Notamacropus eugenii: one gene and its partners. The protein of the gene in region 2 interacts with the protein of the main gene of each other region in a pairwise test. Links are inferred from orthologs where the notes say so. Each region holds a gene or a part of one and is shown on either strand. Other genes may lie near its edges.

Region 1 (7,168 bases), about 310 Mb from region 2:
AGATGTCCTGACAATCTTTCAAAACCTACTCTTTGCTTCTATCTACATGAAATATATATGTCTGTCTGTATGTACACAAGAATAAGTCAAGTCAGTCAGTCAATAAACATTTATACTATAAGTGGCAGGCAAGGGGAAGATCAAGGTGTGGGAACTCCCTCTACCAATACAGATCAGCATCTTTTCTGCAACTTAGAGAGTTGTCTAGAATAGGGCTTCATAGAGAGTTATTTAGAATAGGGCTTCTCAAACTTTTTCCACTTGGGACCCCTTTTCATGTTTTGGCAGTGTTCCTTGGTGTATGGCCTGAGAGCATGTACAGTGTAACCTGTGCATGCTTTGTGTTCAGAACCAAGGCTGAAGTGAAGCTGCAAGAAGCAACATGGGCAAGTACTGCCAGAAAACACCTGGCATTCATTACTTGGTTGATTTTTAATTAGTTTTTGATTGTTTCGCTGTTTACTGTTGCCAACATTTTCAAAGCCCCACTGTTGTGACCCACAATTTAAGAAGTGATGGTCTAGAACACTGACAGGTTGAGTGACTTGCAATGTATGACAGGTCTTCTCAGTTTCAAGACCAGTTTTCTATCCATCAAATTCCACTGCCTCTTGTTATATATGTGTATGGCTATTATAAATAACTACATGCACACAGATATTCCTTCACAAAAGCTCTGCTTCAGTGCCTCATCATGTTGTAGTGGGAATCGTGAAGTCTGTTAGAAAGAAAAGCAAACTCTGGTAGGTTCCACACTGAGACACTGAATCGGTGACAAAATGTCATCTGAGAACCAGTCTAGTTAAGTTCAAAGAAACTCACCACCAAATGTTTGGTTATTAGAAGATGAAGTTTTTTGGCCCCAGCAACTCACGAAACCGCACGAGGGGATGTAGAAGTTTTGATGTGCACAGGTGGAGAGATTACTCACACTGATGAAAGTAATGTCTCTATTTTGGTTTCTCTGCCCTCATCCTAGTCACCCAAGTATGGACCTTTGGAGTTATCCTAAACTTTTCCCTCTCTCTCTTCCCCACAAACTTCAATCAGTTGCCTAGTCCTGTTGATTCCACCTTCAAAATGTGGAATCTTCTTTCCATTCACACTTTCACCCCAGTTCAGGCTCTCATCATTTGCTAGAACTATTATTGTAATAACTTCCTAACCGGTTTCCTAACTTCTAGTCTCTCATCTCCAATCCTTCAACAGAGTTGCCAAAATAATCCTTCTAAAGAACAGGTACATCTATGTCCTTCCCCAGCTCAAATATCTTCAGTGGCTCCCTACTGTCTCTAAAATAAAGTACAATTTTCTAAAATTTAAAATTTTCCATAGTCTATCTCTTACCTAACTTTGTAACTTCAATTCATATTATTCCCCTTCACACATTTGCATTCTTAGCATGCTACACTGTTTCTGTACACAGCAAGTGCTTACTAAGTGCATTACCTATCTTAATTAGGTATTCCATATTTTGTCTCCATGCATTTGCACAAACTATACTCCATATCTAGTATATACTTCCTATTCAATTCTGCCTTTCAAAATTCTTATCTTCCCTCAAGGATCCACTCAGTGCCTTTTCCCTCTATGAAGCTTCTTTTCACTTCCCCAATTGTTAGCACATAGTCTCTTCAAATTATCTTATCTACACATATTTATCATTTCTATCATTTTTTTTTAAGGTTATACATGTGGCTCATTTCTTACAGCCACTTGGTGGCTTCTTGAAGGAAGGCAGTTTCTCTTTGTTTTTGTATCTCCACTACCTAACAGAGTGCCTTGTACACAATGAGTGCTTAATAAATGTCTAAACTGAAATTTGGAAGTATAAAGGCACATAGTTATTGCTTTCCATACATATTGTACCTTTATTACCATCCTGGTGCTTAATGTACCTGTACACGATCACAGTTAAATCTACTCCTTTGTGCTCATCTAATCTCCTTTTCAGAAAATAAGCTTAGAAACCACCTCTTCTATATTCCACAGAGCCTGTACACAGTGTAACATGCAGGTGGATGCCCAATCAGTATTTATTTGGGGTACCTGACAAGGAACTAGTAAGGCAAACATGACATAAGAAGAGTAACCAGCTTCTGGGTCCTAACTCAAGAGAGGCAGCGGGGGCAGAGCTGGGTAGACCGAAAACCCTGCAATCAGCCCGTGGCCCACAGAACCGAACATGAGGGGAACATCACAGAATCGGAGAAGGATACAATCATCCGGAGCACAGAGAGCCAAAACCGACAAGGGCCTTAGGGATCAATGAGTCCGACCCCCTCGGGTTACCGACGGGGAAACTGCGGCCACACAACACCCACCAGGTTCTCTGCAATCACGCACACTCTACTTTCTCCTATCTGTGTTTGTCTGCACGACGGGTCTCCCGTTGGGTCGTAGAAGGGCAGGCACTGCCTCCGGCCTGTCTGCGTCCCCCGCGGTTAGCGACGCGCCGAGCACCGAGGAGGCGCTCCATAAAGGCCTGCCGGGTGACAGGGCAGGGTCGGGGGCCGTGCCCCACACTCACCATGTTCTTGGTGAGCTGGTCGCTCTTCTCCAGGCTGTCTCGGATGAAGGAGAGCGTCTCCTCCTCCTGGGGGATGGACGGATGGATGATAGAGGAGGGCGGCGTTAGTCACCCCGTGGGGTGGGCCGGAGAGGGGGCGATTCCGCCGCCCCGCCGGCCGCGGGTCCCATCCCCTTCCTTCTCCCCACCTCCGCGCCCCCCAAGCCCTCCTCCATCTCCCAAGCAGTCCTTCCCCTTCCCGTCGCCTCGGCCTCACCTGCTTCAATTTGTCCTCTATCTCCCGCCGCCGCACGGACGCCTCCTGTGGAGGAATCATAGCCGCTCCGAGCGGGACCGGCCTAGGGAACCCGCGACCCCCTCCGGCCTGCGGCCCTCACTCCATCGGCCCTTTCCGGAGCGGCCCTCTTCGGCCACCGTCTCCGGCACACCCACTTCCGTCTGCTGCGGGCCTACCCACTCTCGGAGATGGAGCTAGGACGGCGCATGCGCACACTCCTCCTCTCTTTCTCCCCCAACCCCCCCACCCCCGCCTCGCTGAGATGGAGCATGCGCACAAAATTCTCGCTCCTGGGCAAATCACTGCTGGGCGTGACAAGTGTATCTCCTAGGAAGTGGTTTCCTCTAGCAGGGAAGCCTTCTTTCGAAGGGAAAAACATCATTGCGTAAAATAAAGTTTTTATGTCCAAGATCTCTTGGGAACTAACACAAATCAGTGTAGACAGCGGGGGTCACGGGGGCAGCCAGAGTTTGGCAGAGGAGGACTTGCCTCCTCCCAACAGAAAGGGGCGGGGCAATCTCCGCTTTTGTCTCCGCCTCCGCCCTGGGGGCTCGGCTGGGGGGCGGAGCCTTCCCCTTTCCCCAGGTGTGGGTCCAGGTGCTTCTGAAGGTGGGCCGCTTGAGTTATTAGTGAACCCGTCTGCTGCAGGCGCTGACTAGCAGAAGCAAAACCAGTCTTGATCCAGTTTACACTCGTCTTTGGGAAGTTCGCTTTTAAAATACAGATTGTTAATAAAAAGCCTGAAGTTCACCAAGAGAGGCGGCTCTGGTCACCAGACCAAAGAAGTTCCGTTTATAAAAATCTATGTGTCATCAAAGAATCTTTGATTTATTTAAAAAATGTATTCAGGTGGCTGCTAGTCCTCTCCTTTATACTCCTTTATACACCAATATACAGACAGTGCAATACAGAGCTTTAATGATGGAGCACAGGCCTTAAGTAAAGAGAAAGGAAATCAGAATAAGGAAGAAATTTTAAAAGAATGGCAGTATTTATTACGTATCTCTATTTTTTACAGTGCCTCTTAGCATAGCTAGCACAAGGAGACAGAGTTGAGGAGAGGAAATTTAAACCTTTTGGCAATTTTACACAGGACTTTTTAGCTGTCTGGGTGCCTCCCTCCTCTAGCCTTTTAGCACCCATCCTAAGAGTCCTCTTGATCTGGGGAGTGGAGGGAGAATGTCAACATCTCCACTAATGGTCCTGCTCAGATCTTTAAAGTCCCCTTTGGAGACCAGTTTCAGCATCCCTGTTCAGCATTTTGTTTTTGTTCAATCATGGTTTTTTGGTTTTTGTGTTGTTGGTTTTTGTTTGTTTGCTCTTTATGACTCCATTTGGGGTTTTCTTGGCAATGACAGTGATTTGCCATTTCCTTTTCCAGCTCATTTTACAGAGGAGGAAACTGAGGCAAACAGGGTTAAGTGACTTGCCCCGGGGCAAACAGCTAGTGTCTAAGGCAGGATTTGAACTCAGGTCCTCCTGACTCCAGGGCCAACATTTTATCCACTTTACCAACTAGGTACTCAAAATTGTTATTTGGTAGTTTTCAGGTCAGCATAACCCTGTCCAATTCAAACATATGGAAGACCTCCCCAAACTCTTCACAAGTTGGGAAGGAAACTGTCTCTATGAAACACTGAAACTGAGGGACTGTGGAAAGAGAGGTGTTCTAATACATACAGAGCCTTGAATTGGTCCAACCTTTCTGTTGGTATAGAATACAGTGTTTAGAATGCAAACTTTTTGAGAACAGGAACTGTTTCACTTTTGTCTTTTTTAACCTTAGCCCTTAGCACTGCATCTGGTACTTAGTAACCACTTAATGAATATTTGATTTATTGATTATGCTTTTAAAAAAGTGATGAAAATCAGCATGCCCCTTAACCTAGAGATCTCTTTGTTAGGTGTATAGCTCAGGGAAGTCAATGACAGAAAGAGGGATCCCATAGATGCCAAAATATTCATAGCAGCACTTTTTGTAGTATTGAACGTAGCCCTGGGGTCATGGACACCTAGCCCAGTTATCCCTGCTACAGAGACAAGAGACTCAAGCAGATGTTCCCCAAGAGTTCACCAACTGCTGAGGTTTTTTGAACTTGGCTTTATAGGACTTTATATGTTATAGAATTTTGGGGAAAAAAAGCTGGAAGAAGAGTTTGTTTTTTATCTTCTATGATGTGGGTGGGCAGAATTGAGCAAAGTGGCTAATGTCCTGTTGCCTGCTGTCTTCCTCCCTTTCCTACCCCTCCACTCCCATCTTTTGACACTTTGATGGGTGGATATTGCTATATAACGTGATTGCAATTATAAATTCCCAAGAGCTGAGAGTTAACAGTTGGTGATGCCAAGCATCACAAGGGATAGCTCCCTATTCTTTCTTTTTCCAGGTGAGAGATCAGTTTCCCATTAATTGCCAAATTCATCTAAGTTTATCTTTTCCCTTCCTGTGAGGAAAAGCTGATTCTGCCTCTGTAGCTAACAACCCAAGTCAATGCATCATTCCCTCTCTTCTCTCTCCCCCTACCCCCTTCATTACTCCTTTCATCAACCTCACTTCCTCCCTGGAATCACCCTGGCTTCTAATTGATGACCTTTCACCTTATATTTCCTGGAGCTAGGTTTCATCTCTACTTCTGAACATTCACATGCCTCACTATGTTTCTTTACCCCACCTCTTCATGCTTTACAGCTCCCCTTTAAGGTATTGATGGGGTGCTTGGGTACATGTGCTTGGACCCCAATTCTAAAATCACATTTCTCTTTAAAAATCAAATTTCTCCTTAGCCTCCCAGCCCAACAACAGCCTGCTCCAGCAAAAATGGCTGTCTCCCTTCCTGCTGCAGTAGCCAGCTGTAGAATTTATTAGTTTGAATCGGCTGTGTACTGGGTCATAATGACATTTACTACTCACCATTATCCTAGATTTAGACATACGTATACTCCTTCACATTTATCTTGTCTAACAAGACATTGATGAGAGCAGCCTTTTATTACTTAGTCAGTCCTGTCTGTTAGTTGACTTAGTGGCATTTCAGGCCTAAAACTCCCTCCTTGGGCTAGTTCCCAAAGAACTCTGGGTAAAATACCTGTGCAGTAGATACCAAAAGTGCATGTTCCTTTTAAGAACTAACCACTCCTTAATCACTCCTTAATTCTGCCCTGAATCACCTAGTTAGCATATTTGGCACATGTTTTACTATAGAATATCCTATATAAACTTTACCTATACCCCTCCAAGGTTGCAGGTTCCCTAAGAACTCTTGCCCGCTGAAAAGTGTAATAAATCTTTACCACCTTGACCTTAATAATGCTTGAGTTTGGGAATTTTTTTCCAAATGGCCCACACAGGCAACTACAGTTTTGGAATTCCTATATCTCTATCTCTCCAGCCCTCATTAGTATCTTCCTCAATTGGAATGTAAGGAAGGCAGCGATTATTTTGCTTGCTTGTTTCTGTATCTCCAATGGTTTTAGCACAGTGGGCACATGGTCAGCCCCTTATAAATGTGCTATCTCTATCTATGTACCTACCTATCAATTTCTCTTTCACATTAAAGAAAAGACAATGGCTACTAAATCCTAATAAAATTAATGCAGGTGCACATCAGATTAGGCAAGAGATTTAGATGTCTTTAAAGGGCAGGAGATACATTCCATATTCACTTCAGTGGAGGTGTGAAAGGAGGAAGAGACGTTGACTTCATTTTAGTCAAGTGCAAGTTTCCACAAATAAGAGAACTTTTAAGCAGAGAGAGAGTAATATATGCCCATAGATCTAATAAAGGTAGCCCCTGCTACTGAAAAGGCCACTGAGGTCCAGGGGACTACAAGCTCCTTCCTGTAATAGTTCTTTGCTCTGTACAGGTCCTAAAGACTAGATTGCTTAAAATCACATGACTAATATGTATCCAAAACCTAGAGATGCAATATGGCGGTGGTGAAACTCTTCAGGAAGCATATGCTACATTTACATGTTCTATTGATCAGCATAAAGAAAATAAACCTCCTGACTTTAGAGTCAAAGTACATTCTCAATTACAGAGAATAATTCAGAGAAGTATGGTAGTATCTAAGAAAGAGGATAAGATTAGTCTGCAGTAACCAGAAAAAGGTAATACATAGCTCTGAGCTTTATCCACTCATGACTGGTATTGAATCTTGGCTGGTGTCACCATAGTGAGTTGAGGTGAGGCAAATGCTAATAGACATGGAGGACTGTGGTATCTATGCTAAGAAGAGCTCAACTTTCATTGAGGTAGGAATATCTTCTTGAATGTCAATGGAAGCAAATTGAGAAAGCTACTCTGAAAACGCAAAACCAAAGCCAAAAGACCACAGAAGATCTCACAAGATATGGAATA
Region 2 (7,133 bases):
TGGAGGGATGATCTCTACAAAGGGCTGTAGGAATGGGTGTGGGAAGTCACTCATTTCTGGGCCCTCACTTACCTGTAACAGAAGGGATAGCCCAAACTACCACTGACGTCCCACTCAGCTCCACTAGTCTATGAAAGGGAAAAGCCCCACATCTCTCATGCAAGGTCTGCCCTGGGACCCACCAGTCCAAGTGCTTCCTGCCGTTACCACTCTTATTTTTCTGGCCTTGGGTCCTTACCCTCCTTGTCAGTCAGCACCTCCATGCGCCCGCTGAACATGGCCTTGAGCATGGTGTCATGCCGGGTGAGCACCCGCACCGTGGTGTAGTACAGGGAGCCTCCAACATTGAGCTGGATGTATTTGTTGCCCATCCCACCACCCTTAAAGCCCCCTGGCTTGGGCTTAGATCCTGAGGCTGGGCACAGGCCAGCCAGGCAGGTATCTCCGGACATCTCCCGCTGCAGGTAGATGACCACACGGCAGGAGGTGGGCCTAGGGCGTTCCACTGTGGTGGAGGAAGTCACAGGCAAGCAGTTGGTGGAGGCCAGAGCCTCATAATCTCAGGACTGAAGGCAGAAGGGAAGAGAGAACAACAGAAGTCAGGAGGACTGTGAACTTAGAGTTAAAAGGACCGCCACAGTCTGGCCACACCCTGTTCCTCTTCTCCCTCCAGGTCCCCATGCAAATGGCTTGGCAGCCCTCAGAGATACAGGCCAGGGCCCAAACAAGAGAGAGGAGTAAGCTGAGGACCCCTGAAGACCAGACAGAGAGGTTCGCAGGGATCACAAAAATGGCATTACTATAATAACATGTAAGGTGTATTATAAATAACAAACGGGATGCCCGTCCCACCTAGGTGTATACTATTCCCAAAGGTTCAACAAGGTCCCAACACTGCAGCCAAGTTAACTGGGAATTTACGCAATACAAGACTTCTCCAGGATTCAGATGAAAGGCACTTAAACTGTCCATTTAAATAGAAAGGGAGGAAGTTGGTTTCCCTTCCCTTCTCATATTTCCTTCCTTCCTTCTTTTTTTATGAAGTAACTTTTAAAAGTCAATTCTGGTCTGTATTCTCTCTCTTCCTTCCCTCCCAACATCAAGAAAGCAAGAAAACCAATCCCTTGTTACAACCATGTGGGAAGGAACTGAGAGATACCACTTGGGGTTTCAGGAAGGGATGAAAAACACATGACTTGAGAGAAAAGACTGGAACAAGCTACAAGGAAGCCAAGGCTGGAGCATCTTCAACTGCCAGGCTGGATAAGCTGATGTGAGAATCATCAACACAGAAATAATTAAATTCGTGAAAGCTGGTAAGATCAAATGCAATATAGTCTGAAGGAAGAAGAGGGCCCAGGAGGAACCCCAGGGAATGTTCAGGAGTGATCTGGAAGAGGATCCAGTAAAAAGGAGCCTGAGAAGGTGCGGTCAGAGAAGTGGGGGGGAAAACCAGAAGAGAGAAGAGTGTCACAAAAACCTAGAGCATTCTAGTGAACTGCTACCCCTGGCCTCAGGCTGCTGGGTTCTTGATTCTCTCTGCTTGGCACAGAATTCATGCCAATCCTTGCAGTTTTTCTATGTCTAGAGAAATGACCAGAAGGCCACCTGCTGGCTTGTCTTCCTGAGCACAAGGGCAGGGGTTCCCAGTCCTTTCCTATTTTCTAAGGGGTGGAAGAAGATCCCAGAAATACTTCATGATCCAGGAAAACCACAAGATGAACCCCAAACACTGGGGATTCATTGTAACACGGAATTCTAGATGCTAGTGGGCCTGGGGAAGTAGAAAGGGAGACAGACTGCACCTCATGCATTAGAGACTGATTTTCCTTCCACCTACTTTTCAAGGTAGCAGGCTAGAGTTATAGGGCGGGCTGTCCTGAAAGTTAGGAAGGCTGGGGTTTGAGTCCTGAATAACTCTGAGCCAGTCGCTTAACTTCTCAAGGATCTTATGCAACTCTTTAAAACAATAAATTTCACCGATGTGCTTTTATAAAGGAATTTTCCTACAATTATGAAATCACAAGTTTGGTTCAAAAAACAATTAGCAAGGTGCACCCTAAGGTGTTCTACCCTTGGAACAGAACAGACATACCAGGCTTGTCTCCCCAACCAGGCTGTAAGATCCCTTAGGGCAAGAATTACACCCTAATTCTGGATCCCTCACAGTGTCTGCACATTGTAGGTATTCATTAGATAATGACTTTGGAGGAGAAACTACAGCTAAAAGGATCTGACTGAATGGCAAAGGAAAATGGGAAAATGTATTAGTAGACAAGTGAGGGCTGCCATAGATAGCACTCTAGGAGAACGGAGATTTTAGCAAAGATCTGACAAGGTCTCCTGCTGCTCTTATGGACCAGATAGAGGGAAGATGCTGAATGACTCCATCTAAAGAAGAGGCACTAAAGGAAGGTGGCCTTGGTTTAATCAAGTACCCCAGGGACCTGTATCTGGCCCTATGCTGTTTACCATTTTTAGGGGTGACTGAAAGGTACTGACCACATTTCTGGATAGTGACAGAGTCTAGAAAGATCTGTGCAGCGTAGAATGTTGGGCCATACCCAATAAGAAGGAATTTAACCGTGATAAAGATAGTCTTACATCTGGACCCAAAACAAGTCCATAAGCTAAGGATAAGGAAGCCCATTATGGTTTCTGAGGGATGGAGCTAAAAGAGACCATTCACCCAGGCCAGCTCCTCACTGTGCAGAGGACAAAACCAGGAAAGGAGTGACTTAGGCTCAAGGTCGCACAGCAGCAGCTAAACAGACTGGAGAGTAGTGTGGTGGGTAAAGATCTCTAAGGTTTAATGCTTTGCCATTAACAGTGTGCTACATGTAACACTGGCAGATATTTGGGAAGAAATGAATAGGGTCTTGGGCTGCATGAGGTGAGGTGAGACTCCTGATGGATTCTGCTCCAGGCAGACCACTTCTGGAATGCTGTGTTCAATTTGGGGTGCTACGATTTAAGAAAAAAGACCTTGGATAAACTGGTGGAGACCCAGGATTAAGGAACCAGGGATAATGAGCCTGGATAAAACTTAGCCAGGTGGAGGGAGAGAATGAGAACTATCTACAAGTATCTGATAGGGGACCCCAGAGGGCGGAGGCTGGGACAATGGGTGGAGATTGTAGAGAAACACAGGAGGAGAAGGTTCTTAACGAGATGGGGCCGAAGTGGAGTGGGCTGCCCCAGGAAGCCTTAAGGAGCTCTGTGCAAAAAGGGAAGGAGGACCACTCAGTGGGCATTACTGAAGTACACGTCGGACTAGAAGTGGCCCCTGCTCACTCGGCCATTCTGGCTAGAGAAGCAAGCGGAGGAAGGAAACACAGGCTCTGTCTCCTAACCTAAAGGGTATTTTCCTTTCAGCTTTTCTAAGCTGCTAAGCCTTCCGGAGCAAGCCAAGAACAACAACGCGAAGGGCTTCTCCCAGCCCTGAGGCCGTGGCCCCCTGCCGCAGGGATGGCTTCGGGGCCAGGAGCCGGGCCGCCCTGGACCAAGCGAGGTCAGATTACATTTCCCTCTGAACCAATGGGCTCCCGGGCTCCGCCCACAGGGAACGCCCTGAAACTGACTCGGGGGAAAAAGAAGTTTCCATCGAGCCCCTGAGCGCTCTTCCTTCCGGACTGGGGGGAGGTCTAGAGGCTTGGGGGTGGGTCCGGGCCTCGGCCAACGAAGCCCCGCGGACTAGGGAACCGACGGGGCGGAAGACGTGGCCCGGGAAGGGAGGCAAAGCGAGGCTCACCCCGGGGTCACCCTGCCCCCCAAGAATGTCTATTGCGCTCCCTTTCCGGCTCTTCCTCTGCTACCCGCTCTGCCTTCTTCCCCTGTTTTCTCCCCCTCCCTCCTCTCGCCCTTCTCCTCCCACCTACCCTTCCTCCTCCTCCTCCTCCCATCTCCCCTCCTCCTTCGGGCCGGGTCTCAGAGGACGGCGAGGGGGCACACTCACGGCCTCTGGTCCGGGGCGCGGGGCACGGGACGCGCCTCCCCACCTCCCCGCCCTCCTGGGGCGGACGCGGCCCTTCTCTTACCTTCGTCCCCGGAGCGTCTTCCTAGGGCTCTGTCCGGCCTGGACCCCAGCTCCGGCTCCCGCAGCCCCAAAGAAAAACGCCCCGACCCTGACCCCGACCCCCGCCCCAGGCTCTGGTAGTGAGCTCATATCCTCCTCAGGCTCCACCCCGAGCCCGGCTCCCACGCCTGCCGGGGAGGGCCCACGACTACAACTCCCAGAATGCAAAGCGAGGGAAGGCACGTGTCTCGGGGGGATGTTTTTCTCCTGCCCACGCCTCCTGGCAGCCGTCTTATCCCCGGGAAAGAGGGAAAGCGACTTCCGGCTCCTCCCTCGGCGCAAAGGAGTAGGGGAGGTGTGGGCTTTCCTTGCAGTCTAACCTTCGCTCCTCAGACTCAGCTTCCCAGCAGGCATTTCGAAGAGGGAGGTGGAACCATTTCCGGCGGCGAGTTCGCGGCGCGGGAAGTGACGTGTACGGTAAACAGGAGCTGTAGCCGTGGCAGCGCCGGGGCGGGCGGCTCCGGGCGGCGGATTTAGCTGCTAACCGGAGTGCGGGGCCGCCGTCTCCCGCGCCCGCCCCGCATCGCGGCGGGCCCCGGCTTCAGGTGGGTGGCGGCACGGCTCGCGCGACTATTGGCCTCGCCTCGGAGGCGCGGGCGGGTGCCTCAGTTTCCCCGGGAGGCTCTCGGGGAACCCCCGGTAGAGGGCCTGGAAGAAGTCGGTCGCCCCGGTTCCACGAATGTTTCCAGGGGGCTGCCTGCCCTGTGGCCCACGCCCGTCATCACTGAGTGTGGCGCTCGGCACCGCGCCCGGGACCCCACGTGGGACGGGATTTGGCCCGGCGGGGGCCCACCCGCCAAGTCCGAGGGCGGAGGAGGTGGCTTCGGGGCTGGGGTCCCTTTGTGGCTGTTGGGGTGGGGCTGCCCTGGCCTTCGGGGCTTCGAACTTCCCAGTCCCTTGTTCTGGGGGCAGCTGGTGGTGCAGAGGATGGAGGCCGGAAGACTTAGGTTCAAATCCGGCCCAGACACTAACTAGCCCATTGCCCCCCTCCAGAAAAGCAAGTGGCACCTGCACCCCATAAAAGGGTGCTGGAGGGGCCTGGCCATTCTTTTCTCTTCCATTTTTGTGTCTTGTGTCGATGGTAAAAAAGTTGTTAGGGACCCGGCACGCGTGACCTGGGGCCACTTAAGGTGAGACAGCCTGGCCGGAATCTGGTCTTCACCTTTTCGGTTTCAGAAATTTCATTTTAGCCAATTAATAGTCAACACTGTGTACCTGCCTCAGGGCAGCCAAGAGGTGCAGGGGGTGGAGCTCTAAGTCTGAAGTCAGGAAGACTCATCTCCCTGAATTCAAATCCAGCCCCAGTCACTTACTAGCTGTGTGACCCAGGGTAAGTCACTTCACCCTGTTTGCCTCAGTTTCCTCATCTGTAAAATGAGCTGGAGAAGGAAATGATACACCAAGAAAACCCCAGATGGAGCCGCGAAGAGTGGAGCACAGTGAAGAACCATTTAACCACAACTGTGTGCCTGGGGCTGTATGGGATGTTCAGGGAGGACCAGCTCCTCTGGTGTGAGGCCTTGCTGAGCCCTTTTCAGGGCTGCTCATTCACCTTTGTTGTTTACCTATCACCTGTGGCTCCAAGAAACTATCACGCCCCACGGCGTACCTCAGGAACCATTTTGGCCGATGTGACCCACAGGCCTCGAACCCTTGGCTGAGTTAGGGGGCTGTCTACCCCAGGTGTGTGAAGATTTCCCCAGCAGAACGGGGGGATGAGAACAGTTTGTTCCAACAGCCACAACAGTGACCGAAGTAGGTGCCGTGGAGGGCTCGGTCATGTATTGCAGCCTGGCCATTGCCAGTTGTCCTCAATTGGATGACTTTGGAAGAGTGAGGCTGGCAACCTTGCAGGACTGTTTCATTTAAATCCAATTCACAGGCAAGTCAAGACATCACCTGAGTTGTTCTTGGTCTTTGAAAATGAAGAATGAAAAAAATCAACACTATGTGCTTGGCGCTGTGCCAAGTGCTGGGGATCCAAAGAAATTCCTGCCCTCAAGGAGCTTGTAGTCTGATGGGGGGAGCCCCCTCCAGGTGACCTGGCCTGGGGGCACAATGCTTGAGGAGTTGAAACCAACAAAGTAGCTGAGGAAGTTAACCAAAAGAAGGGAGGCCTTGGGGAGGAGTTCATTGCTCTGTCCTCCAGCCCTCCCTCCAGTCTGAGGAGAGAGGCACCTGAGAGTGCTGAGGAGGTGTGAGCAAGATGATAAGATTTCAGGGGAGGAGCTTTCCTGGGGGAGGCAAGATGTTCCTAGAGCTGAGCCCATGTCAAGAGAAGGCAGCTGGAAAAGTTAGCTGTTCCCCAATGACCGAGTCCTAGGGAAGCTTCGCTTGCAGCAACCCAGCTAATGCAAACTTATTAATTTGTAATGGGAGAATCTGTGCTGCTTGTCTGCATAGGGCACTGTTTCTTGGGTGTAGACCAGATACCCAAATCTGAAGGTGACTTGGTGAGCCCAGCTGAAGAGCAAAGGGGGCTGTATCTTTTTTAGGGGATACTCACCTCAAGCTAGGATAATTTGATGGAGTGTCTGGTAGCAGTCATCTGGCATCAGAACACTCACACTTCTGGATGGTCGGGGAAATACATCAACAAGTCCTTCCCCTTTGGCTCGCACCTGCTCTAAGGCCAGCAACACCTTATGATGTTGCAGTGCAGCTAGTTACAACTTGCCATGATCTGCATTCTAGCCATGATTCTCTTTAGGGATGCTGAGGCCCCAGGTCTTACTGAACCCAAGTTCACCAGTCGTCCACTGAGCATTATTCAGCTTCTTGAATAAATCTCTTTATCAAAAAGTGGGTATCATACATACCTAATCATCAACCTTTTAAAATTATTGTTGGTCATAGTATTGATCAGAGTTAGGTTTTTCAAAGTTATCTTTACAATATTGTTATACTATCAGTTCTCTAGGTTCGTCTCACTTTACTCTGCATCAGTTCATAAATTCTTTCCCAAAACTAACATTTTCCTAATTTCTTGCAGCATAATAAAATTCATTTATTATTTGTTTAGGCATTCCCCAACTGAGAGGTGCCTCCTCAATTTCTA
Region 3 (7,965 bases), on a different chromosome or scaffold from region 2:
GAGCAGCAGAAGCCACAGAACGGAGCAGATGAGATTTCTGCTCCAGAGAGCCTGAAAACCTCTTGCAAAAGGTCCCTCGCTCCCCGGACCCGGAGCAGAGCCCAACCCTGCCTCGGTGGCATGGAAAGGAGCAGATCCGAGCAGGCTTCAGGGACGGGATCTCCAGCGGCCACGCGGGTTCCCCACCCACAGGTGACAAGGTTCGGTGAGAGGGTCTCTTTGGCGGGTCGAGAAGGGAGTGGGGTGCCCCCATAACTCAGGCCCCCTCAGAAGGCAGCAGCGGAGGCGGAGCAGACCAGGGCTCCCCAAGCATGCAGGAGTCCAGATCCATTGTTGAAGGTCTCTGCATAAACCCCCTGAGGGAACTGAGCACCCGTGAGGTAGCCCTGCCCCCACCTGAGCACCTGAACTTAATCTCACACTGAATAGCAGCCCTGCCCCCGCCCAAAACCGAGGCTGGGAAGCAGCATTTGAATCTCAGACCCCAAGTGCTGGCTGGGCGGATCTGGAGGCGAGGTGGGGGTGGAGAGGACACTCAGAAGTCAAGTCACTGGCTGGGAAAATGCCTAGAAAAGGGGAAAAAAATAAGACTATAGAAGGTTACTTTCTTGGTGAACAGGCATTTCCTCCCTTCCTTTCTGATGAGGAAGAACAATGCTTACCATCAGGGAAAGACACAGAAGTCAAAGCTTCTGTATCCCAGCCCACTCAGTGGGTTCAGGCCATGGAAGAGCTCAAAAAGAATTTTGAAAATCAAGTTAGAGAGGTGAAGGAAAAACTGGGAAGAGAAATGAGTGACATGCAAGCAAAGCATGAAAAACAAGTAAACACCCTGCTAAAGGAGACCCAAAAAAATGCTGAAGAAAATAACACCTTGAAAAATAGGCTAACTCAACTGGCAAAAGAGGTTCAAAAAGCCAATGAGGAGAAGAATGCTTTCAAAAGCAGAATTAGCCACATGGAAAAGGAGGTTCAAAAGCTCACTGAGGAAAATAGTTCTTTCAAAATTAGAATGGAACAGATGGAAGCCAATGACTTTATGAGAAACCAAGAAATCACAAAACAAAACCAAAAGAATGAAAAAATGGAAGATAATGTGAAATATCTCATTGGAAAAACAACTGACCTGGAAAAGAGATCCAGGACAGACAATTTAAAAATTATGGGCCTACCTGAAAGCCATGATCAAAAAAAGAGCCTAGACATCATCTTTCATGAAATTATCAAGGAAAACTGCCCTGAGATTCTAGAACCAAAGGACAAAATAAGTATTCAAGGAATCCACAGATCACTGCCTGAAAGAGATCCAAAAAGAGAAACTCCTAGGAACATTGTGACCAAATTCCAGAGTTCCCAGGTCAAGGAGAAAATATTGCAAGCATCTAGAAAGAAACAATTCAAGTATTGTGGAAATACAATCAGGATAACACAAGATCTAGCAGCTTCTACATTAAAGGATCGAAGGGCATGGAATAGGATATTCCAGAAGTCAAAGGAACTAGGACTAAAACCAAGAATCACCTACCCAGCAAACCTGAGTATAATACTTCAGGGGAAAATTGGTCTTTCAATGAAATAGAGGACTTTCAAGCATTCTTGATGAAAAGACCAGAGTTGAAAAGAAAATTTGACTTTCAAACACAAGAATGAAAAGAAGCATGAAAAAGTAAATAGCAAAGAGAAGTCATAAGGGACTTTACTAAAGTTGAACTGTTTACATTCCTACATGGAAAGACAATATTTGTAACTCTTGAAACTATTCAGTATCTGGGTACTGGGTGGGATTACACACACACATGCACACGCACACGCACACACACATAGAGACAGAGTGCACAGAGTGAATGGAAGAGGATGGGATCATATCTTAAAAAAATGAAATCAAGCAGTGAGAGAGAAATATATTGGGAGGAGAAAGGGAGAAACGGAATGGGGCAAATTATCTCTCATAAAAGAGGCAAGCAAAAGACTTATTAGTGGAGGGATAAAGAGGGGAGGTGAGAGAAAAACATGAAGTTTACTCTCATCACATTCCACTAAAGGAAGGAATAAAATGCACACTCATTTTGGTATGAAAACCTATCTTACAATACAGGAAAGTGGGGGATAAGGGGATAAGCAGGGTGGGGGGGATGATGGAAGGGAAGACATGGGGAGGAGGGAGCAATTTGAGGTCAACACTCATGGGGAGGGACAGGATCAAAAGAGAGAACAGAAGTAATGGGGGACAGGATAGGATGGAGGGAAATATAGTTAGTTCTTATTATGGAAGTCATTTGCAAAACTACACAGATTTGGCCTATATTGAATTGCTTGCCTTCCAAAGGGAAAGGGTGGGGAGGGAGGGAGGAAGAGAAGTTGGAACTCAAAGTTTTAGGAACAACTGTCGAGTACTGTTCTTGCCACTAGGAAATAAGAAATACAGGTAAAGGGGTATAGGATAGAGACAAGGGCAGAGAGGGATGATAAAAGAGAGGGCAGATTGGCAGACGGGCAATTAGAATGCTCGGTGTTTTGGGGTGGGGGGAGGGGACAAAAGGGGAGAAAATTTGGAACCCAAAATTTTGTGAAAATGAATGTTAAAAGTTAAATAAATAAAGAAAGAAAGAAGGAAAAAAAATAAATTAAATAAATAAAGTCATTGTTGACCTCTCAAAAGTTGCCTTTCCTTTTAGAAAAGCTGACCGTAGAACACATGATAGCAGGCCCTCCTCTGTATGTAGGGGCACTTGGTTCTACACCAGTTTGATCTTTCATGGTTCTTTCCAAAAAGAAACTCATCACAACTAGATGGTAGAGATGGTAGACGCTCTACCAAAGGATCCAGTCTCTGGTCTGAAATGGTACATCGTCTTCTCCAGACAGGGGAGAGGTTAGTGGTGCAATCATCTTACCCCTTCTTTGTGGGAGGCAAAAAATACATTTACACTGTGGTACAAGCAATCACGGGAATCACAGTTTCCAGCTGTCCTTTGGTCACTGACCAAAAGGCTTTGGGCAATTTCCCTGGTGACTGCTTTGAAATCTACCTATGCAATAGTGTCAACTTCACGTCATATAAAAACATATATACTGTGATGGGAACATATTCATCACTATAGTGTTTAGTCATCTGAATTCATCAAAAGATAAAAGAACCATCATGTGTGCTGTTCTTGTCTTTATAGTTTTAGAGAGCACATGACAACTTACAAGGCCTCACAACAATCCTATAAAACAAATGGCACCATTACTCACATTTTACAGATTAGGAAACTGAGGCTGAGAGTAATTGCCTTGCCCAGGATCACACCACAAAAATGTGGCTATGGCAGAATCAAAACTCAGGTCTCCCCTTCTCCATCCACTTTGCCATTCAGTTGCCCTAAGGAGACAGCCTAGCTCTGTGTCACTATGCCCAGCATGGCCTTGGATTGTACTTCTGAAAAACCCTTCATAATAGGCTTCACACAGTCTGTGGATCAGAGATGCTGAAGTTTGCTCATGGCCTTAATAATTCCACTTAACTTTCTTTTTTCCCTTGAACCCAGTTTTCCTACGAACAGGCTGATGTTCATTCAAGGGGGAGTTTAAGCAAGGGCCCTCTGGATACTTCTAGTACTGAAATGTTGTTTCATATCCCAGAGAAAAGGGATGTCTCTTGCCACCTTCACACCCAATCACACTAGTTACATGGGCAGCTAGATGGCACAGAATAGAGTGCTGGGCTTGGAATCAGGAAGACTCATCTCATGAGTTCAAATCCTGTCTCAGACACTGACCAGCTCTGTGACCCTGGTCAAATCACTTAACCCTGTCTGCCTCAGTTACTCACCTGTAAAATGAGGGTGAGAAGGAAATGGCAAACCTCCTAGTATCTTTGCCAAGAAAACCCCAAATAGCTCAAACAGTCAGATGTAACTAACAACAATACACATTAATTGCATTCAGAAACCCGTGCAGAGTAGTTATCACTTCTATTCTCAAAGCTACAAAGATCTAGCACCAGCAGTTTCCATTATTCAGAGCACAGATCAACTGTGCTCTGAATAATAACTAACTCCAATTAAATATCAGTCCACTATGAATCCATATATTAGGCAATCTCCCTGGGCCTCAGTTTTCTCTATGGTAATGTAATGGAATTTGAACTAGATTGCCTTTGGGGTTACTCAGCTCTGGAGCCATGACTTTATACACAGGTATGGCTGACTACATGGTCAGTGGACCTGAGATATGGAAAACTAGCTACCTAAGCTCCCTCCCACCTCTGGAGTCAAGCCCCTAAGTACAGGTGTGGTTACCTGGCCACCTGAACTCCTTCCCTACTCTGGAGGCATGATCCTAAATGCAGGTGTGGCTACCTGGTCACTTCTCAGCTCTAGAGTCAAGCCCCTAAGTACAGGTGTGGTTACCTGGCCACCTGAACTCCTTCCCTACTCTGGAGGCATGATCCTAAATGCAGGTGTGGCTACCTGGTCACTTCTCAGCTCTAGAGTCAAGCCCCTAAGTACAGGTGTGGTTACCTGGCCACCTCTTAGGTTTGGAGTTGAGTCTAAAAATGTGTGCGGTCACATGGTTACCTGGAGCCAGCTGTCAGCCCAGGACTAAGTGTGGCTACCTGGTCACTTCTCAGCTCTAGAGTCAAGCCCCTAAGTACAGGCGTCGTCACCTGGCCACCTGCGGCCACCTCTCAGCTCTGATCCTAAATTCACACGTGCTTACCTGGCCACGTGATCTCTCTTTCTAGCTCTGAGACTGACTTTAGTTGTATCCAAGTTTGACTGCAGCTCTCTTTCCGAGAACTGTTCTTGAGCATGCGCCATCAACTTTCCCAGTAGGAGAGTAGAGGAAAAACTACAATTCCCAGAAGGCTGTGCGGAAGGGACCAGGGGAGGTTGGTTTCTTCCGCAGACTCAGAGCCAATGGGAGGCTCTGGAACAAAACTACGACTCCCAAAGGGCCTTGCGAGCGGGGCTCAGTTGGTCTTCTCCGCAAGCGCAGACACCTCGGCTGTTAGCTGAGTCCACTTCCGGGGGGAAAGGGCCGTGGTACCTCAGACTGAGGCTGCCAGTCGGGACCCGCTCCCGTTGTCCGGGCTGGGAAAGCAGGGGGCTTGGGGCCCGCTCGCCGGGGCCATGGACGAGGACGGGCTGCCTCTGATGGGGTCGGGCATAGACCTGACCAAGGTTGGTAGGGGAGGAGGGTCGCTTCCGGGGCTCCCGGGGTCACGGAGACCCTTCCTCTAGCTTGACGGAGGAGGAAACTGAGGCCCAGAGAGAACACTTGGAGTCCGCGTGACCGTAGGCAAGTCACTTCTGCTCTCTGAATCGCCCTTGCCCCATCTGTAAAATGAGGGGGTCAGGCTCCGAGGGCCCGGCTCTAGATCCGTGATCCTGGGATCCTGCCTCAGTTTCCCCATCTGTAAAATGGGGGGTCAGACTCCAAGGTCCCAGCTCTAGATCCGTGATCCTGAGAATTTTTCTGTGCCTCGGTTTCCCCATCTGTAAAATGAGGGGGTCAGGCTCCGAGGGCCCGGCTCTAGATCCGTGATCCTGGGATCCTGCCTCAGTTTCCCCATCTGTAAAATGGGGGGTCAGACTCCAAGGTCCCAGCTCTAGATCCGTGATCCTGAGAATTTTTCTGTGCCTCGGTTTCCCCATCTGTAAAATGAGGGGGTCAGGCTCCGAGGGCCCGGCTCTAGATCCGTGATCCTGGGATCCTGCCTCAGTTTCCCCATCTGTAAAATGGGGGGGTCAGACTCCAAGGTCCCAGCTCTAGATCCGTGATCCTGAGAATTTTTCTGTGCCTCGGTTTCCCCATCTGTAAAATGAGGGGGTCAGGCTCCGAGGGCCCGGCTCTAGATCCACGATCCTGAGAATCTTTCTGTGCCTCGGTTTCCCCATCTGTCATCCAGAAGGAACCTTAGAGGGGGCCATCCAGTCCAATAAGAAAACTGAATCCTACAGAAAACGCAAGTGACTTGCTGACGTCCCACCCGAGCTGGCCTTCTGACCCCCGCCCTGTGCTCCTTGTGTGACCAGGAGTCACAGCTCCTAGACTGAAAGGCAGAGGAGCACAGCTGGCCCGTGCCTCCCTTCTGTGCAGTGTTTAGTGGCACGCCTGAGGTCACAGACAGAGGAGATGCGCATCCAGGCCCTTGGACTCCAGGTCTGTGTCCTGCCAGGGACCAGCGACCACTTGGGCCACATGGTGGTGGTGGAACCACACCCTTCCTTCCTCTGCCCTTCTCCTCCTTCAGAACGCAAGAAGCTGTTTTGTTTTATTCCCTGGTCAGTGGGAGGCACACAGCTGGGTTCCACCGGCCAGCCTCCCAGACATGGCCCCAGAGCTTGGGACAGGCCTGGAGGGAGGCACTGAATACGCTGGAGGATTTTCTTTACTTGTTAGTTGGTTGCTAAGTGGCGTGGTCCTTCCTGCTTAAAGCCTAGGTGTTTGAGAAGATTGTGTTCCTTGGCCATTTTTTCTGATTGTTTTTCATTAATTCTGATGTTTAATTCAACCCTCTCCTTTAACATAGGTGGAAACTGAGTCCGGAAAAGTGACTAACCCAAGCTTACGCAACCACAGAACTAAGCCTCCAGGCTCAAACAAGACCCTCCACCTCTCCCCTCCAGACATTTTCTTTGGCTGTTCCCCATTCCAGGAACGTTCTCCCTCTTTCATTCTAGGTTTTTCTACCAGGCACCATTATTTATTATTCCTCTTCATTCCTATTTATCCTGTAGGTAACTTGCTCTGCATGTTTTTGTTCCCCGCTTTAGTTTATAAATTCCTGGAGGACAGCGACTGACTTTTGCCTCCTTTTGTAACCCCATTACTTAGCATAGCCTGGCACATAATAGGTACTTAATAAATGTTTATTGATTGATTGAAACCCAGATCCTCTTAATTCCAAATTGAGGATCTTTTCTGGGCACTAAAATGTCACCAAGTGTCATTGATCCCAAGCCAACACCTTAAATTACAAATAATCAAACTCCTGAATGGGTTATAAAAAGAGGTCATCCTGTCTATCTTTGAATGGCTCCTAGAAGAGTAATTCTTTCCCAGAATTCCCCATTTCTGCAGGTTGCAGAGATAAGTATTCACTACTTAGACCTGTCTCACCTCATAATCCATTTTAATTTTCTCATTAAAAAAAAATATTTTTTTTTTCAATGCAGATTCTCCGTACTCTGAATCTTGTGTCTCTCGGTCAACTTCAGACTTTGCCATAGAGCTGCATGGTGTAGTGGAAGAAATCCTGGGTTCAGGGCTCAAAGTCTGGCCTTTTCATTTCTTTGTGCCCTTGGATGAGATGCTTCCTGGCTCTGAACTGTCTTTAATTGTTAGGGAGCATCTTGTATTGATCCAAGATCTGTCTTTACTCTTTGCGCCTAGTTTGGTTCCATAAGCTAGGCCAAGAAAGGAGAATTCTTTTTCCCTTTATTAACCCTTTAGTGCTTAAAGATAGCTCTCCTAGGATTTGTAGGAAAGGATCTAAGAAGTAATCTGTTCCAGCCTCCTCATTTTATACATAAGGAAACTGAGACCCCAAGAGGGGTAGTTCCTGGCCCAAAATGACACAGGTAGTGAGTTGCAAAGCCCAAACTGGAACCCAGGCCCTCTGACTCCAAAATGAGTGTTCCTGGCAGTGCTCTGAATCTCACACAAAGTACTGAACCGTTTTGAGCCTAGAAGCCCTTTCTCCTGCTCGAATTATTTTGTGTTTGTATGTTAATTATGTTGTGTTTTTACTTAATGCAGGTGCCAGCAATTCAACAGAAAAGGACTGTTGCATTTCTAAACCAGTTTGTGGTTCATACTGTACAATTCCTCAACCGCTTTTCTACGGTTTGTGAAGAGGTAGGTTGTTTGGTGTTTGTTCTTAGAGTGGCAGAGAAATGAGGGTGAATTTTTTTGTTGGAAAAGTGATTCTGGCATCAGGGCCAGTACTCATTTGTTCTGACCTCCAATTCACCT
Region 4 (7,661 bases), on a different chromosome or scaffold from region 2:
GTTGGGAAGTTAGTATGTCTTTCCATGGATTCTTTGTAGGAGAGGCATTTTCATTTTAAGGGTCATCTGTGTCACCCACAAGGAGCCCTTGCCAATTTATGCACACAGATCCAGAGGATATGCTCTGTCTGATCACCCCTCACCTACTAAAAGGGAATTGCTTTACCTCCCTGGCTAGCACGCGCACACACACACACACACACACACACACACACACACACACACACACACACAGCTGTTTGCTTCTAGGGTTGCAGAGTAGGGCAGACAGTCTTTGAGGAAGACTATTACCTATCTGTCAGGCTCATTTTACCCGTACTTTAAAAAAATTTTTTTCTGTTTTCAGGAGTAATGGCCCTGCCTCCAGTTATGTGGCCCCACATTATCCAGACAGGGCTACTCCATCTTCGTTTCTCTTCTTATTCCTGGTACCTACCTTCTCCTCCAAGTCCACTCAGGTAACTGCCGGCACTGGACCCTGAGAGATTGGGACGGGCTAGATGAGGCCGAGGGTGGGGAGTGGTAGTACCTAGGGCTGGGGTTGGCCCCTCACTACAGTCCTCACCCCCGAAACCCTGGCAGCACCGCCATTCCATGTCCGTCACTGTTTTATAGGCTACTCTGTATCGAGGGCGGAGGAAGCTACGATACCTAAGGGAGAGATAAGGTGGGATAGAAGTAAGCGTTGGACATAACATAGACTTTCCTGTACCATTAGTCATCTTTTTCTGTGAGTGTGCTTAGCTTTTTGAGGAGAGCTGATTCAGCTTTACACAGCTTTTGTACGTAGGAGCACCTAGCACAGATTTTTGCTCAGTAAATGTGCTACTGATGACTTTCTCTTTTTGTCTTAAAAACCAGGCTTGTGAGGAAGTCCGGCATAGTCTCCAGGTGATTCCTGGATCCCTGCAAGAGAGCCCACATGAGCTTGCCCACATTTTTTCCTCCTGTGCCCTGCTTCAGTCCCAGATCTGGGCTCCCAAAACAGAAAGCAGCACAAGGGGGCAGCAAGACGTCCCTGAGTGGGTTCTCAGCTCAATCTCTCTAGTCTATATTTCTAGCTCACCACTGACTCTAAATGGCTCTAACCTCCACTTCCAGGCTCAGTCCCATATCGCTTCTTTGGCCTCCAGTCAAATTCCCTGGTTTTGCCATCTTGATCTGGTCTCCCACCCCCACCCAGTCTCCATTTTCCTGGCCCAGGCAACTCACGTGATAGTTCGGGGACACTGGGGCTGGCCCCAGCCACAGGCCTGGTAGTCGGGTTTGACAAAGGTCTCCACCCCGTCTTCCAGTACACAGCTCACTGTCCGAGTGACCACGTAGGCACACCAGTTCCTGCAGGCATAACCATCAAGGCCTGAGCCTTGAAACAAGGACCCCAGGAAGAAGGCAGGGGATGGAGCTGCACAGAGGCAGGGCCGTCCATTGGGCTCTCTCCCCGTACCTCCTGGATCAGTAGGGGGTCGTAGAATAACTTTTTAGAATGGGGAAGCACAGAATAGGAAAAATGAGTGCCTCCTGACATCCAGAGAATACTCTTTAGGAGCCTGGAGGAGGCCAGGTATACATCCATTTGCTTATGTATAGATGTGTCTATCCATAGTTGTTGCCATGAGTCTGGGAACTTGTGTGTCTGCATATGCTCATGGGCATAGAATTCTAAATGGAACCATTTAATTTTAGAGCTTTGAATGTTTGTCACCTCGTGATATCTATGAATACCAAGTATGTACATATGTTTATATCTGTATGTTTCTCTATGTGAGTTTGTTTACGTGAGTGAGATCTATCCTGCCGGATGTTGCCCTAAGACCTTCAGGGGAAAAGAGTTAGGGCTTTTCCCTTTCTCTGCTGGTCACAGCCCAGGACTGATAAGGATAATGGAGGCATTCACTAGTAGTTACTCACCACTCCCTTCCCACTCTGCCCCTCCAACACCACACACACACACACACACACACACACACACACACACACACACACACACACACACACACACACACACCAAAAAAACATTTCCAGTTTTCAGTATATCTATATAGGGCTCCCCATCTATATAGGGCCTCTGATCTGTGACAGGATCAAGTGAGGGTCAGAAGGGCAAAGGGTAGCAAGGAGAATAGGGTCAGTAACACATTAAGGGGAGAGGCAGGGGCAGCCAGGGAGGTAAAAGGAACAAAAGGGTAGAAATGAATGCAGGGGCTGTTCTTTCAAGTCCTGGCCTCCCTGCCCTACTATGCGCAGTGAGTAGTCTTTTTCAGAGTATGTATAGCCCCTGTTGCCCAGGGACTATGGGTGGGCTAGGGGAACCAGAGGCTAGAGAGTGAAGCAAAGTAGGGCCTGATGTGGTCTCAGAGCAGGGAACCCTTGGTAGGGAGCTAAGGAGCCATCACCTCTGGGTTACCTTTAACCAGTTCAGTCAGGTTTATTTCTAATGTGAAATTTTTAAATATATTTTTCCCAATTATATCTGCATTACATGTATATTACAATTTACATGTAAAAACAATTTTTAACATTTGTTTTTTGAGTTCCAAATTCTCTTCCTGTTTCCCCTCCCTTTTTTAAGAAGGAAGTAATTTGATATAGATTATACATATGCAGTCATGCAAATCATCAGGTTTATTTCTAAACCCAAAACTCCATAAACCTGGCAGGCTAGGCCTAGGTGAAGGTCAATGAATGCATGGAGTGGCCTGGATATGTAATTTTTGTTCCACCCCTCACCCCACCCAAGTCTCAGTTTCATTCCTCTGGGGAAAAGGTGGTAGAGGTGGTAGGAAAGTTTCAGGGAAAGTACTTGAGGAGTGGATGGGGCTGGGGGTCAACGCTCTTACCTGTGGCGACTAGCTGGGCGGTGGACACTCTGAGCCTGTGGCCCCCCAGGAGTGAGGGGCCGGGCCCCAGTGTAGAGGCTGTAGCCCCGAGATGGGTAGCTTGCAGCCCAGGCTGCCCCAGCCAGCAAGCAGCAGAGGCAACAGCTCCAGAGTGAGGTGGGGGCCATGCTGGGGGAGGCTCCACTCTGTGCCCGGCCTCAGCTGCACATCCCAGCCCAGCTGGCTGCTTCTGCCTCAGTCCCAGGGGGATCCTGACGCTCCTCAGAAGGAGAGAGAACCCCTATCCCCCCTTCCCCAGCTTCCTGCCTGCCAGAGCCTCACGCCCCCTCTATCCTGATCCTTCCCCCCTCCTCTTTCTGTCCCTCCCTCTCTTCTTTCCGCTCTCCTTTCCTCTTCAGAAGGGAGTCTGTTCTTTTAGCACCTAGTCCTCCAGTTCTTCTTTACCTATTTGGATCTGTCTCCTCAAGCCCCTCTCCCTGGCCCCCTCACAGCCCTCTCCTTGATCCCCACTCTTCTGGATTTCCTTGCTACCTTCTTTGCCCCATTCCTTGCTCACTGGTTCCTCTAGGATGATGAGGCTGTGCCCCTGTGGCGGCTCTGAGTGAGGGTGGCTGTGTGGGGCGGGCCCTGGCCTTCTGCTTCTCTCCCTCCCCTCCCCCCAGTCTGGCTGGAGGTCCAGCCTACCAACCCCCCCACCCCCCTTCCAGCAGCTCCACATCTGCTTCTTGTTAACGCCGGGAAGGAGAAAAAAAAGGGGGGGGGTGAAACAGAAATGTGGAGTTGCCGCCGGGCAGGGGGCCAGCCGCTCAGACAGGGCCATATGGAGCCAGGGCCAGAGCTGGGGCGGGAGAAACCTGGGGCCGGCCACTCATATAGGGAGTCCGAGCAGCAGAGACAACAGCAAGACCAAGAGTTAATCTGGGGATTGACTCTGGGATTGGGGTGGTTGGGGCTGGGGGAGGCATACCTGGGAGAGGTGGGGGAGGGTCTGGAGAACTTGTGTCTTGGCCAGGACATAGAAGAGAAAGAGGGAATCTGGAGAGAAGAGGCTAGCTAGCTCCTGTGGATGATTTGGGGCACTTAAGCCTCTCAGCCTCAGTTCAATTCAGTGCAATTTACTTAAGTGCCTACTATGTGCAAGGCACCGTGCTAGGTGCTAGGGGTAGAAAAACAAGATGAAAAATGGCTGCTATCCTCACAGAGTTTGTGTTCTAGTTTGAAAACACATAAACATGCATACTTTATGTATACGTGTATGTATGTGCACACATATCATTTCAAGAAGAGAGGGAAAGAACTAGCAAGGGCATCAGGAAAGACTTTTCAAAGGAGATGCCATATGAGCTGGGTTTTGAAGGAAGCCAGAGATTCTAAGAGGGAGGCAGGAGTATGCTGGTAAATGTTTAATCACCAGCTCTCAAAAAATTTACCACACATTTTTACACTTAATCTGCATCATTCACATTTTCTCTGTCACTTTCACTTTCTCAAGCCTAGACTACCAACAAAACAATAAATCAAGCTCTGAGTTGTCGCAATTTCTGCGATGAAAAGCTCACACTGAAAATTTTACAATCAGCTTTCCAAAGACAGTTTGAGTTGGGAAGTGAGGAAGGCACACATTTAGGAATCAGGGATGGGTGGAACAGGCCAGTTTCCCAATGGAAAGAGATTAGAGGCTGGACTGAATAAATTCAGTTCTTAAGATTCTATGTTTCTATGACATTTAGAGAGCAGAGAAGGTGATTTGGGGTGGAAAGGTGATTGAATTCAGATCAAGTATGAGATGATGGTAAGCATCCACATAAAACTGTCCAACCGGAATTTGGAGGTGTGGAAACGAACCTGGAGAGACAAGGTGGATGAAGTGGGAGATTTGGTTGGAAGCAGATGATGCCAAATATCTCAGAATATCTTGGAATACCTTCACAGTAGGTTGTAGAACACCTTGATAGTAGGTTTTTGAATATCCTCACAGTAAGTTATGGGATACCCTATAGATTGGACTGTGGAATATCATCAGTGTAGGTTTGTTGGAGACTCTCACTGAAAGTTGAAGACATCCTTACAGTAGGATGAGGGACAGAACCCCTCATAAAAGGCAGACAGGATGAGTAATGAATTTCAAGTACCAGGGCATTGGGAGCAGCTGGTGGAGGATGTAAGCATTGATGGAGATAATATACAAATCAGATGAATGGAGTTGGGAGGTTGGAAGAAGCAATAGTAGCAGCCTTACCTGAAACTGTTTGAGAGTCATGGAGGATGAGGATAGAAGGTGGGGTTGAAAGGTCATAGTGGCAGTTGGTCAGATGGAGGAGAGTGCTGAGGTTCCAATGGCAGTTGGCTAAGGAGGGGTCCCTGAGCTACATGAAAGGTGGGGTATAGAGAGAGTAGTACCAGGTCTCTTCCATTTGCGTGTATACACTTGGAGTCTTTGACAGGAAAAGGCTCACATCACAATGCAAAGAGCCACTAGAGTATGGTAATAGCCACAATCAAATTCTCAGTGAAAGAATGACATTTTTCAAGTAAATTAAATAAATTTTGTGCCACTAAAATGTTTTTTCTTTTGTATCTTCTTATCAGAAGCAAATTTTAAAAAAAGATTTTCTCTTAAATATTAATGTAAGTACATTTACTAAAAATCATCAAGAAACTTACAGATCATAGAATAAATGTCTAATCAAATCCTCAGCCAAATTTAACCACTTATATCTTGATCAAATAGAAAAACCAACTCAAATGAAATTAGTATACCAAATAATTTAAGAAAATAAGTTCTTAATAAAGATACACGAGCTAAAAATCTTCTGATTTTGTGTACGTTTTTTCTTTGGTTTTGTTGATATATACACATATGTAAAAGTGGAAATGAGGCAGGTAGGTGCAAAATAGGTAGATCTCAGGGCCTGGAGTCAGGAAGACTAATATTTCTGAGTTTCCATCTCACTACAGACACTAGCTGTGTGACCTTGAGCAAGTCACTTAACCCTGTTTGCTTCAGTTTCCTCATCCGTAAAATGAGCTGGAGAAGGAAATGACAAATCATTCTAATATTTTTACCAAGAAAACTCCGAATGAGGTCACAAAGAGTTGGACATAACTGAACAACAAAAGTGGCAAAGGGTGCCTTGGGAACTAAAGGATTCCCTCTAGTTGGAGGTCTTCAAGCAGAGGTTGAATGAACACTTGTTGGATATGTTATGGTGGGGATTCCTTTTTGAGTATGGATCAGACCAGATGACTACTGAAGTTTCAACTATAAAATTCTGAGTTACATGCAAGGTGTCCCATAAGTCAGTACAGTTTTAAGCTTTAATAACTTCAGAAGTATAACTGCTTAAAAACTTACCAAAACACCTGCATTTGAAAGGCTAATCACATACACTTTAAAAAAATATTGTTGTTTCTATTAAAATTCAGCATCATCGCTATCTTTTGCTATACCTTACTGTAGTTGATTTCTGAAATTTGCAAAACTTTTATTACTGCTCAGTGACCAAAAGGATTTCTAGGCTTAAGATAATCCAAGGAGTGCAGTTTTGATGCCTAGAAACAGTTTTGATATGACCTCACAAAAAAAAAAAACTCTAACAGAGAGAGATCAGGTGACTGAGGTAGCCTATATCAAATCTACTGGTCTGAGAAAGTATCAGTATTATGCACATATAATTCATAATAAGCAGGTACCTATCTCGTTAAAATTACAATTTTATTATTTAAAAGACACAAAACTAAGTAGGTGCAAAGGAAATTTGAACAACTAAGCTTTCAAATGATTTTTTTTAAGCATACAGAATTTCTATTTGTGAAGTTATCAAAACTTAAAACTACACTAAGACTTTTGGAGCACCAGGTGGGGAGGTTGGACTTAGCATGCATGCTCTTTTGACTCTCCTGTCTTCACTTTGCACATGGTAGGGATATAGGTATCAATGGGTAATCCAGGCCATACTAATTGGCACTTACAGATTTACCAGGAAGCAAGTAGAAAATAGACAAAGGAGAGTTTTATGATGAACTGCTCTTTTCTCAGATGCCCCTGATAATGGGGAAGAAAGATATACAGTTTGAATGAGACTTATTAGGGCCATGCCAGCCCAGGTGGCAATCCAACTTGAGTAGGATTTCATAGCAAGAATCTTCATGCAGTGGGGACCACATTCTTTATTTTCATTCCTTTCAACTCTTCTCTTTCCCCATGTGCAGCAGGTAGCACAAGTGTTAGGGCAAATAATAATGACATAGTAATAATTATATCCTCCATTTACATACTACATCTTTAATACTTATTTGTGATCATATGACAGTGCTCCAATGTGATCTCATTGGCTTGGCTTTTCAATAATCCAGATCATCCCCTACTTCCACCCCATCCCAAACCCCTTTGGCCCTGGTTTCATGTCTCCCCATAATTCACCAAAGGGGGTCCACCCAACATGCTTTCTCTTGACAATTTTTATTAGTTAATTAATTTTTAGTTTTCAACATTTACTTCTATAAGCTTTTGAGTTTTAAATTTCTCCTCCCTCCTCCCCAAGAATGCATGCAGTCTGATATAGGCTCTACATATACATTCATATTAAATACATTTTTACATTAGTCATGTTGTAAGAATTAGGACCAATAGGAGGAACCATGAGAAAGAAGAAACAAAACAAAACACCAAAAATAGAGCAGATAGTATGCTTCAATTTGCATTCAGACTCCATAGTTCTATTGATGTGGATAGCATTTTCCATTGTGAGTCTTTTGGAGTTGTCTTAGATCCTTGTATTGCTGAGAAGAGCTAAGTCTACGAGTCAGTCATCACACACT

What was found.
Region 1: the proteins of IFT20 (region 2) and EXOC7 interact in binary tests that used the Homo sapiens proteins (3 or more experiments, as listed by UniProt). The two-hybrid records come from large-scale screens. The link is inferred for Notamacropus eugenii from reciprocal best matches to the Homo sapiens genes IFT20 and EXOC7.
Region 3: the proteins of IFT20 (region 2) and WASHC3 interact in binary tests that used the Homo sapiens proteins (3 or more experiments, as listed by UniProt). The two-hybrid records come from large-scale screens. The link is inferred for Notamacropus eugenii from reciprocal best matches to the Homo sapiens genes IFT20 and WASHC3.
Region 4: the proteins of IFT20 (region 2) and EMILIN1 interact in binary tests that used the Homo sapiens proteins (3 or more experiments, as listed by UniProt). The two-hybrid records come from large-scale screens. The link is inferred for Notamacropus eugenii from reciprocal best matches to the Homo sapiens genes IFT20 and EMILIN1.

The regions. Positions count from the first base shown.
Region 1 is NC_092873.1:342,425,739-342,432,906, forward strand, and holds the start of EXOC7 (exocyst complex component 7), read right to left. Parts: upstream 3,007-7,168; 5' UTR 2,847-3,006; coding exon 2,787-2,846; intron 2,597-2,786; coding exon 2,531-2,596; intron 1-2,530. UniProt on the Homo sapiens protein: Component of the exocyst complex involved in the docking of exocytic vesicles with fusion sites on the plasma membrane.
Region 2 is NC_092873.1:35,659,462-35,666,594, reverse strand, and holds the start of IFT20 (intraflagellar transport protein 20 homolog), read left to right. Parts: upstream 1-4,129; 5' UTR 4,130-4,620; intron 4,621-7,133. Other genes in the region: TNFAIP1 (BTB/POZ domain-containing adapter for CUL3-mediated RhoA degradation protein 2), read right to left, coding at 239-452. UniProt on the Homo sapiens protein: Part of intraflagellar transport (IFT) particles involved in ciliary process assembly. May play a role in the trafficking of ciliary membrane proteins from the Golgi complex to the cilium.
Region 3 is NC_092874.1:284,999,600-285,007,564, reverse strand, and holds the start of WASHC3 (WASH complex subunit 3), read left to right. Parts: upstream 1-4,952; 5' UTR 4,953-5,117; coding exon 5,118-5,168; intron 5,169-5,747; exon of another isoform or gene 5,748-6,123; coding exon of another isoform or gene 6,124-6,150; intron 6,151-7,749; coding exon 7,750-7,848; intron 7,849-7,965. UniProt on the Homo sapiens protein: Acts as a component of the WASH core complex that functions as a nucleation-promoting factor (NPF) at the surface of endosomes, where it recruits and activates the Arp2/3 complex to induce actin polymerization, playing a key role in the fission of tubules that serve as transport intermediates during endosome sorting.
Region 4 is NC_092872.1:528,367,418-528,375,078, reverse strand, and holds the start of EMILIN1 (EMILIN-1), read right to left. Parts: upstream 3,008-7,661; coding exon 2,841-3,007; intron 1,748-2,840; exon of another isoform or gene 1,339-1,747; coding exon 1,213-1,338; exon of another isoform or gene 862-1,212; intron 652-861; coding exon 437-651; exon of another isoform or gene 347-436; intron 1-346. UniProt on the Homo sapiens protein: Involved in elastic and collagen fibers formation. It is required for EFEMP2 deposition into the extracellular matrix, and collagen network assembly and cross-linking via protein-lysine 6-oxidase/LOX activity.